Bombyx mori: one gene and its partner. The protein of the gene in region 1 binds, or shares a complex with, the protein of each later gene. Links are inferred from orthologs where the notes say so. Each region holds a gene or a part of one and is shown in the gene's direction. Other genes may lie near its edges. The genes, in order: RNA-binding protein spenito and N6-adenosine-methyltransferase catalytic subunit.

Region 1 (4,400 bases):
TAAATTAGACAACAAAGATGCCCCCAAGACTCAATCATTTTGATCCTGATATAGCATTATATACATCAACAACTACCATAAAATTGCTCATAAAGTTGGAATTTGTCCCTAATCGCCCCATTTTACGGTACTACACTGGTAGCATTTTTTTAAAGTGATTTTATGATCTGGTAACTAAGACTTTTTGGTCATGTCTTTTTTTAATTTTAATGACAGCTTTTTTAATGAAAAATGATATTATGAAATGAAATGAAGTTGATTATTATTATACATGGCATGAAATGAAAACGAAATGAAATGAAATGAGATAAGATGATATGGAATGAAGTATAATCTCAGTAAAATAGGGGTCATTTGCTGAGACTTTTTCAGTGAACTTTTTGGAAGATCCCGAGAAGTTACGTTCAGTGGCTTTGTTTCATTTTCCCATTTGTGCACTTTCACAGATACTAAATAGTTAATAAACCACGTTATTACACATTCAAACCTAAGAAACACTATTAAATAAAACAAAGCACACAACTTCACTTCTCGCGTTCCCGCCAAAAAGTCCAGATCATAGGTAGCTTTACTTCTCTTGGGATACAGATCAGTAATTTTCTCTATTAAGTATTCAGTTTAGCAGTCCATATTACAACAATTAGTTAATTAAATCATAGCAATTTCGACAGTAGCATGGATGTGACTTGTTATGTGGGGGTTGTCCAAAGAATTGGATGGTCTAGACCATGCTGATGACTAATGTTTTTTTAATCATGAAGTTGTCTGCATGCAATCCAAACTGGACGATATATAGTTGGAAGCGCCAAAGTTGGTTTTAAGATCAACTCGATGAAGACCCAAAAAACACTTATCGGACAAAATCCGCTACCCGTAAAGCTGGTTACAGAACCGAAACAGCGTACCTATCGTACATAATACAACTCAGAAGAAACGGCAAAATAATTTGGGGAAATATGTACAAGAAATTCAGAAATCACATTTGGCAACCCTCAGCCAAACTGCCATTTTGTGAGATTCCCATGTAATGGTCGATATTCTTGATGCTTATCAGCGCTTCTAATTTCAAATTTACATTAAATAAAGTTGAAGTGAACGTGATTATTTTAAAATAATTGTCTACTTAATAATACGAATTAGTTCGTCCAAGATTGAGGTTTTCAGTGATCTGCTGAGTGATTAGTGTTTGTAATTCGTTTGGGGTAAGAATAGTGCATCAGTGGGTTACTTTATTGTATCGACCAAAACTAATTTACAGTGACGTGTAATATTGTGATGTGTATTTCAGATAGTAGTTCGTCGAAGTGAGCTTTCATGATTGGATTACCGCGTAGCGATAGAGATAGAGATCGAATTACGGTGAAAATTCGCAATATGAAGCGAAGTTCGTCGCGTGATAGTATGCCGCGATCAAAACGGACACGCAGCAGTATTGGTAGGTATGACGATAGCTCTGACGAGCGTGGAAGCCCGGAACGAGTACGACGTCGAGTACGCTCCCCTAGCCCGCGCGGTCGATATGTGTCACCTCATCGCGATGATTACGTGCGTTCTCGTGATGCTCGAGATGAATCTGTCCGCAGCTACTACAAAGTACTATGTGTTAGTGCTTTACACCCTAAAGCGTCGGATGAGATTGTCAAGGATACTTTGTATAGAGAATATAAGAAGTATGGTGACTTTAGTATAAAAATATCCCATGAGTTGGATGAGAGAGTAGCCTACATCTGCTTCCGAAGTGCAGAGGATGCGAGAGACGCTAAACATGCCAAGCCTAGGATAATACTGTATGATAAAGTTGCTATTGTTGATCCTGTTTATGAACCTGTACGTTCTGAGTACAGACCGAGGCCTCGTAGTATAACTCCTCCTGACTATGATCGCCCTTATTCATACGCTTGGTCTCCTGTACCAGAGAGACGTCGTCCCCCTCCTGATGAGAGAGCCTATGGTATCCCTCCTACAGTGCCACCTCACCATAGAGATTTCCGCCCTCCTATGCATGAGTATCCCATGGCAGGTCCTCATGGGCCTCCAATGCATCACAGACCACCTATGCATCACCCTCCACATCCCCATTATATGCCACGTCCATACATGCCCCGGCCTCACCATCCTCCATTTGAGAAAATTGAGAACAAAAAAGATAAATTTCCAAATTACCTACACCATGTTCAACCTGAAGATGATCCATTAGCTACAAGAACTCTTTTCGCTGGTAATTTAGAAATAAACATTTCTGATGAAGAGTTACGCCGAATTTTTGGACGCTATGGTATAGTAGAGGACATTGACATTAAAAGACCTCCTCCAGGTACTGGAAATGCTTTTGCATTTGTTCGTTATCAAACTTTGGACATGGCACACAGAGCCAAAGTTGAATTATCAGGCCAATACATTGGCAAATTTCAATGTAAAATAGGTTATGGCAAAGCTACACCCACAACACGTGTCTGGGTGGGTGGCCTGGGACCATGGACTTCAGTAGCACAGTTAGAGAGAGAATTTGATAGGTTTGGTGCCATTAAAAAGATTGAATATGTGAAGGGTGAACCTCATGCCTATATTTTATATGACTCTATTGATGCAGCCCAAGCTGCTGTCAAAGAAATGCGGGGCTTTCCTTTAGGGGGACCGGAGCGACGTTTGCGTATTGATTTCGCAGACGTTGGAACAGGTGGACCCTATAGACCTAAACCTTACAGTGCACCTGTTGGTGAAGATGGTAGGCCTGTTGAAGGATATGAGGGATATGAAGGTAGTTCTTGGGAGGATGGTTATAGCTATGGTACTTATAGGGGTAGAGGTGGGCATCGTGGCCGTGGACGTGGCTCCTACAGAGGTGTCTATCATGGTACAGGAGATTATCGTGACGAAGAATGGAGACGTGCTCCATTAGATTCAGAATATGAGAGTCGCTTGCGTCGTTCTGGATCAAGGGAGCCTGGAGTCGATAGGTCACGCTCACGATCTCGTCGTAGATCACCTGATAGTGACTCTGATGGATCAATGCGTAGAAGTAGTGGGATGCTATCTTCGTCACGAACAATGGCAGAATTAGTTCGTAAAGCAACTACAATTTGGCATGGAGCACTGATTCTCAAAAATTCATTGTTTCCTACTAAGTTGCATTTAACAGACGGTGACTCTGAAATTATTGATAGTCTCATGAAAGATGAAGATGGTAGAAAACAGCTCAGAATCACACAAAGATTACGTTTGGATCAACCTAAGTTAGATGATGTTCAAAAACGTATTGCCACATCTAGCTCTCATGCCATTTTTGTGGGTGTGTCTGGTTCTACTGCTGTAGTCACCAATGAAGATGTTTCGATACAAACACGACCAATGAGGAATTTGGTATCATATCTTAAACAAAAAGAAGCAGCAGGTGTGATATCACTTTTGAACAAAGAGACTGAAGCTACTGGAGTTCTTTATTCTTTCCCTCCATGTGAATTTTCAACTGACCTTCTCAAAAGAACGTGTCACAATTTAACTGAAGAGAGTTTTAAGGAAGATCACCTAGTTATAGTAGTAGTACGAGGTGGCACTGCTTAATTATTCAAACACTGCTTTAGTATATTGTATTGTTATTTGTAGGTATATACTCTTAATTTAAGTTTTTTGTTCTACACTTTTTACTTTATATTCTTGTGATGTGTGTGATGTGAGGTGCATAAGATGTGCAAGTTTAAATATTTGTGCAGTGCTGTGTTCTCACAGTGATCAGAATTAACTTTGATGAAAATGTACAGTATAGAAGCTAGTTCAGCTAGATATCCGACTAAAAGAAGTTTATCTTACTTTTTTAAAGTTAAGTGTATAATATTCAGTGTATGATTTAGGTGATGTGTAGTGTGTGAACAAAACAAATAGATTATTTTAATTTTGAAAGTTGTTTTTTTAAACCTTGTGATTAAGTGACATATCCAGTGCAGTTGATCCATTAGTGGTTTTGTGATGTTAAGGTGTTCCAAAAAAAAAAGTATTGTGAATTTATGTTTTGGTATGTCCATTAATTTGCAAAAAAATGATTATAAAAGGATGTACAGTGGAACAACAAGTCAGTGGTGTGTTGTGGTTTTAACAGTAAAATTACCAAATTTAGAGTCAATTGAAGACAAATTTTCTACAATTTACAAATATGGTGATATAAATGTTGACTCAGTATTGTTTGTGATTTGACGTGTTTCATATTATAATATAAAACTGAAACTGGGTAAGTCTGTAGATATATTTCACACAACACAGTAGGCACTGTATTGGTAATTTGTGTGTACTTTAAAAATAGTTCTTTACAATTCTGAACTTTATAGAATTTTTTTAATGCTTACAGTTGTATGGTACATAAAAAATAAAAAATCCCATGCACTAAATGAGCTAAGGTATAATGTAAT
Region 2 (4,523 bases), on another chromosome or scaffold:
GGCGTAACCATAACTAGGTGAGCTCACGGGGCTCAAACCTGACGACGTTGCTAACACGAACCCTAGCAAGAGCCATGCTTCGCAGAATTTACCACCAGATCGGTAACGCGACCCACTGAGAAGATCCGGTGAGAAACCCAGTGGGCTGTGTCTGCGTGTAATATTCGACAATTGCACAAAATGCGGTCATGATAATGACATTTCCGATAAAGTCCATCCCCGACAAACTAAGCAAAATAATTTAGAGGCAGTTACTTATATCTATATGGGGGATAAGTGTACATGGAAATTGGAAACATGGATTTACAGAAGAAAGTTACAATTATAAACTATGTACGGTACTTGTTTCTACGTAACAGAAGTTTGAAGATTTTTTTTTATTTTTTCGCAATGCGCTGGATTTGGTGTCACTTCATACGGTACATCGCAAACGATTTATTTTCGGAGAGCGCGGATTGTAGTGTTTTTTCTATTGCTCACAGATTTGCGATATTTTTTAGCACCGAATTTTAATCGTAGTGTGCACTTAGCCCTGTTGTCGTATAATCATTAGTATGGAACTCATTCAAATTATGAAGACATGAAAATGGTTTGGATTTATTATGGTGCAAATAATATGATCTAGCAATAATTTAAATTAATAATTACGTATAGTTTAATTTAATAAAAGTTATCGACAAGCGGTCGCACAAATAAATTCAAATAACTAAAGTGATGCACCTGAACCCACCAATAAAATTGAATCAATACCGTTTTCAAGCCAAAAACTTACTATAAATTGATACGGAAAAACAACATACGCCGAAGATAAAATTTTACATGCGGAAGAAGCTTACCTTGCAACATGATAAGCTTCAAGAGTTCTCATGGCTCGTTTGTAAAAATTACATACTTTTTGTGAATGGCTTCTAAGTTCAGGAGCAAAAGACATTTCTGTAATATTAGAGAACGAACGACAAACAAGCACCTATAAAGTCAAACAATAAGATACCTACTTATACGTAAATGACGTGTATTATTATTATTTGATGCAGACCTATTGTTAAACGTCAAATGTGCCATACTTAATTTTTTTGGAACTATTTCAAATTAAAGCGATTAAATGCAATTTCCAACTTGACATTTCATGAAATTTACGGCTGTTGCAAAGATATAGTTTTTTTACAAATCATGATTTTGAAACACCCTAAATAGTAACAAATCACAAAGTTGCAGTTTGATACTAGTTTAAATAGTTTTCTAGCTGGCGTTCATTAACATTCCATAAAATATAAATTTACGTATTTTTTTCCACTACAATATAGTATATAAAATCGATATTTTAATCTAGTCTGCCTATTGGGAATGTTAAAAGCAACCGTCATAAATATATAAGTAACCGAATGTCGCCGGTCATTTATTAATTATACATTTTTAATTTATTAATTAAATCAACATACTTAAATAACTGAAATTGTATTTTTACTTAAGATACAGGTTTTATCACCTAGTTCAAGCACAGATGCAAATTATGATTGTGTTTCTACTTCTATAATTATTAATTATAAATTGTTAAGAGTCCAGGCAGCCCCCGACCGAGAGCCAGCGCTAAGCTATAAAAACGATCCGTCGCTGCGCCCTTGCCCTAAGTATCGCAATCTATAAAAAAAATCTCAAATGGCTCAATTGACATTTGACAGGTCTATGGTACTTACCGATAAAAAAATTATCAAACTTGCTGTTTGACAAATAAAATTGTGAGATTTAATAGCTTATTTAACTCGCTTAAACCTAATTTTATGAATTAAAAGTATGTAGGTACATTATGTATCAAGAATTTTTATAAGTTAACTTTTAATCAGCGATTAAGATTTGCTTGGTTTAAGTAAGATTATTACTTTAATATTAAATCGAATTAGCAAATATTATCTCAAAAATCACAAAAAATATCCCAATAACCATGAAATAGCCAGTGAAAATCACATTACTAGGGCATAAAATAAAAAAACAAATATTCACTATGTCGGACGCTTGGGAGGAAATACAAGCTGTAAAAAGCAAAAGGAAAAGTTTCCGTGAAAAGTTGGAGAAACGAAAAAAGGAACGCCAAAGTATCTTGAGCTCTAGTTTGGTCAGTGGCGAGAAATCTGATGCCTCTCCTAATAAAGATCGATCACTTGGTAGCCCGGCTTCAAAATCAGAAGGTAAATAAATAAAGTAGATTTAAATTTTATTCTTTTCAAAATGCATATCGAATTCGCAAAATATAGTATTCGTATCGGTACTAAACAGTATCATAGAAAGTAGTAAAGCAAACACGAAGACTAAGCCGAAACACAGGTGGAAAAACTTTAGTATAAAGTTTAGATCTTACTCCCTTTTTTTTTTTATTGCTTAGACGTGTGGACGAGCTCACAGCCCACCTGGTGTTAAGTGGTTACTGGAGCCCATAGACATCTACAATGTAAGTGCACCACACACCTTGAGATATAAGTTCTAAGGTCTCAGTATAGTCACAACAGCTGCCCCACCCTTCAAACTGAAACGCATTACTGCTTCACGGCCGAAATAAGAATACCTAATAATTCACCAAAGAGCAAAACAAACTTTAGTACTAGTCTCTACCAATGCTATTAGAATAAAATACAATGATTTATTATTCCAGCTTCAACTTTGCAAGAAAAGTCAAAACCAATCGTTCCACCAGCATCATTGGAAGTGCGTCTATTACAAGTTCTATCAGATATGCAATTGCAGTTACCTGCTACTGCCAGTGCTCTGCTACCAGGACTTGGAGATGTGGACACGGAGATTGTAGCAAACCTGTTACAGAAGTTTGCAACACAGAAGTTGATCACGTAAGTTTTTAAGGTATCAGGATGTTGATATTATGTTTAAAAATAAGTCATTCCAGGCTTTTCCAAAGTGTTCACAAATTACAGTTTAATTTTTTATTTACATTTATCTACAAATTGGATGCTACAGTTCTAGTTAAAGAATAAATTATTTGAAAATAAAATGTAAAATTTGAAGCAACTAATTACAATAGATGTAAAATATTATTAAATTGAGATACAAACTAGAAAAAAAAGACAGATTAGCTACTTTTTAATTATATTTGAGAGTTTAGTGTTTTAATCATTTTAAGAGTCGTGGTTTTAAATGATAGCCATTTAGACATGCGACACTGCTTTGGGAACATGTAAAAACAAAATGAAAGGAATGTATAACAAAAACAAACATTACATTATTGTGTTTTTACACAGTATAAGAGAAAAAACTGAAGTAACAACAGATGCTGACGTTGAGGTAGTGAGTGCAGAGTCAGGGAGGCTTGCGGCCGTTCTTGCAGCTCTGATGGAAGAAGAAACCACGACAACTAGCAACAAAAGAAAAGGTGAATGTCAAATGCTTATCTCCAAAAAGGTTTGCCTCCACAAACAAATAATGACGATATCCTTTCCAAATAGGTTTAAAGATCTTGTTCTAATACAACTGTTGAATGAAGTGATGGGAACATACCGTTCTTTAGAACGAACAGATCACCTAAAGAAAGCAAAGTGGGAAAGTCAATTATGAATACTGTGAAGTGTCATAAAAATTAAATTGAGTTTATTCATGAATAAACAGCAGTTTTACTCTGTATGACAGGTGAGAGTCCCATTGAAGATACATCAATTACAAAAGCTCCTAAGATGTCCACCGAGGAAAAGAAGTCTGGCAAGAGCGACACAGATATTATGGTAACCATAAAATAAACTCACAAATCTTGTTTTGAACCTGATAGTGCAATTTCACATACATATTGTTAGAGATAGGTAGTACACTATATTAAATGACCATCAGGAAATATATAGGTCATTGTTCTTGTTGAACCCATCGCTTGTGATGAAGGGCTCGGTGAGTAAATTAACCCACAGACACAGCCCACTGAGCTTCTCGCCGGATCGTCTCAGTGGGTCGCATTTCCGATCAGGTGGTAAATTCTGCTAAGCACTGCTCTTGCTAGGGCTAGTGTTAGCAACGTCGTCAGGTTTGAGCCCTGCGAGATCACCTACTTATTAGGGTTAAGCTGAAATAGCCTCTCAAGGTCCTCAGTTTAGGTAGAAAAAAAAGGAAAGACCTATAGGAATCATACACCTTCAGCCAGACTTGAAGTCTGTGTTATATTACAACTGTCAAATCCTTTAAACTGAAACACTGAAGAGAGAGATGATGCTGTTCTAATTCAAAATTAATGTCTCCCTTTCTATAGTTAACTTTATAATGTGTAATATTAATAATTAATTTATAATATTTAATGAATAATATTTGTAATTTATAATGTGTGTGTGCGTGCGTGTGCGTGCGTGTGCGTGCGTGTGCGTGCTTGCGTGCGTGCGTTTGCGTGCGTGCGTGCATGCGTTTGCGTGCGTGCGTTTGCGTGTGTGCGTGCGTGCGTGCGTTTGCGTGTGTGCGTGCGTGCGTGCGTGCGTGTGTAATGAAAAGCTTCACTATTATTTCAGTCCCTCCTAGCGATGCCTTCAAGTAGAGAGAAAGCAGTG

What was found.
Region 2: RNA-binding protein spenito (region 1) and N6-adenosine-methyltransferase catalytic subunit share a complex: the UniProt entries of both Drosophila melanogaster proteins name them as parts of the WMM complex. The link is inferred for Bombyx mori from reciprocal best matches to the Drosophila melanogaster genes nito and Mettl3.

The regions. Positions count from the first base shown.
Region 1 is NC_085125.1:10,174,457-10,178,856, forward strand, and holds the start of RNA-binding protein spenito, read left to right. Parts: upstream 1-1,314; coding exon 1,315-3,561; 3' UTR 3,562-4,400. UniProt on the Drosophila melanogaster protein: RNA-binding protein that acts as an associated component of the WMM complex, a complex that mediates N6-methyladenosine (m6A) methylation of mRNAs. M6a modification plays a role in the efficiency of mRNA splicing and is required for sex determination.
Region 2 is NC_085126.1:4,836,409-4,840,931, reverse strand, and holds the start of N6-adenosine-methyltransferase catalytic subunit, read left to right. Parts: upstream 1-1,664; 5' UTR 1,665-1,999; coding exon 2,000-2,183; intron 2,184-2,644; coding exon 2,645-2,837; intron 2,838-3,245; coding exon 3,246-3,376; intron 3,377-3,630; coding exon 3,631-3,722; intron 3,723-4,484; coding exon 4,485-4,523. Other genes in the region: NADH dehydrogenase [ubiquinone] 1 beta subcomplex subunit 9, read right to left, coding at 837-931. UniProt on the Drosophila melanogaster protein: Catalytic component of the WMM complex, a complex that mediates N6-methyladenosine (m6A) methylation of mRNAs, a modification that plays a role in the efficiency of mRNA splicing and is required for sex determination.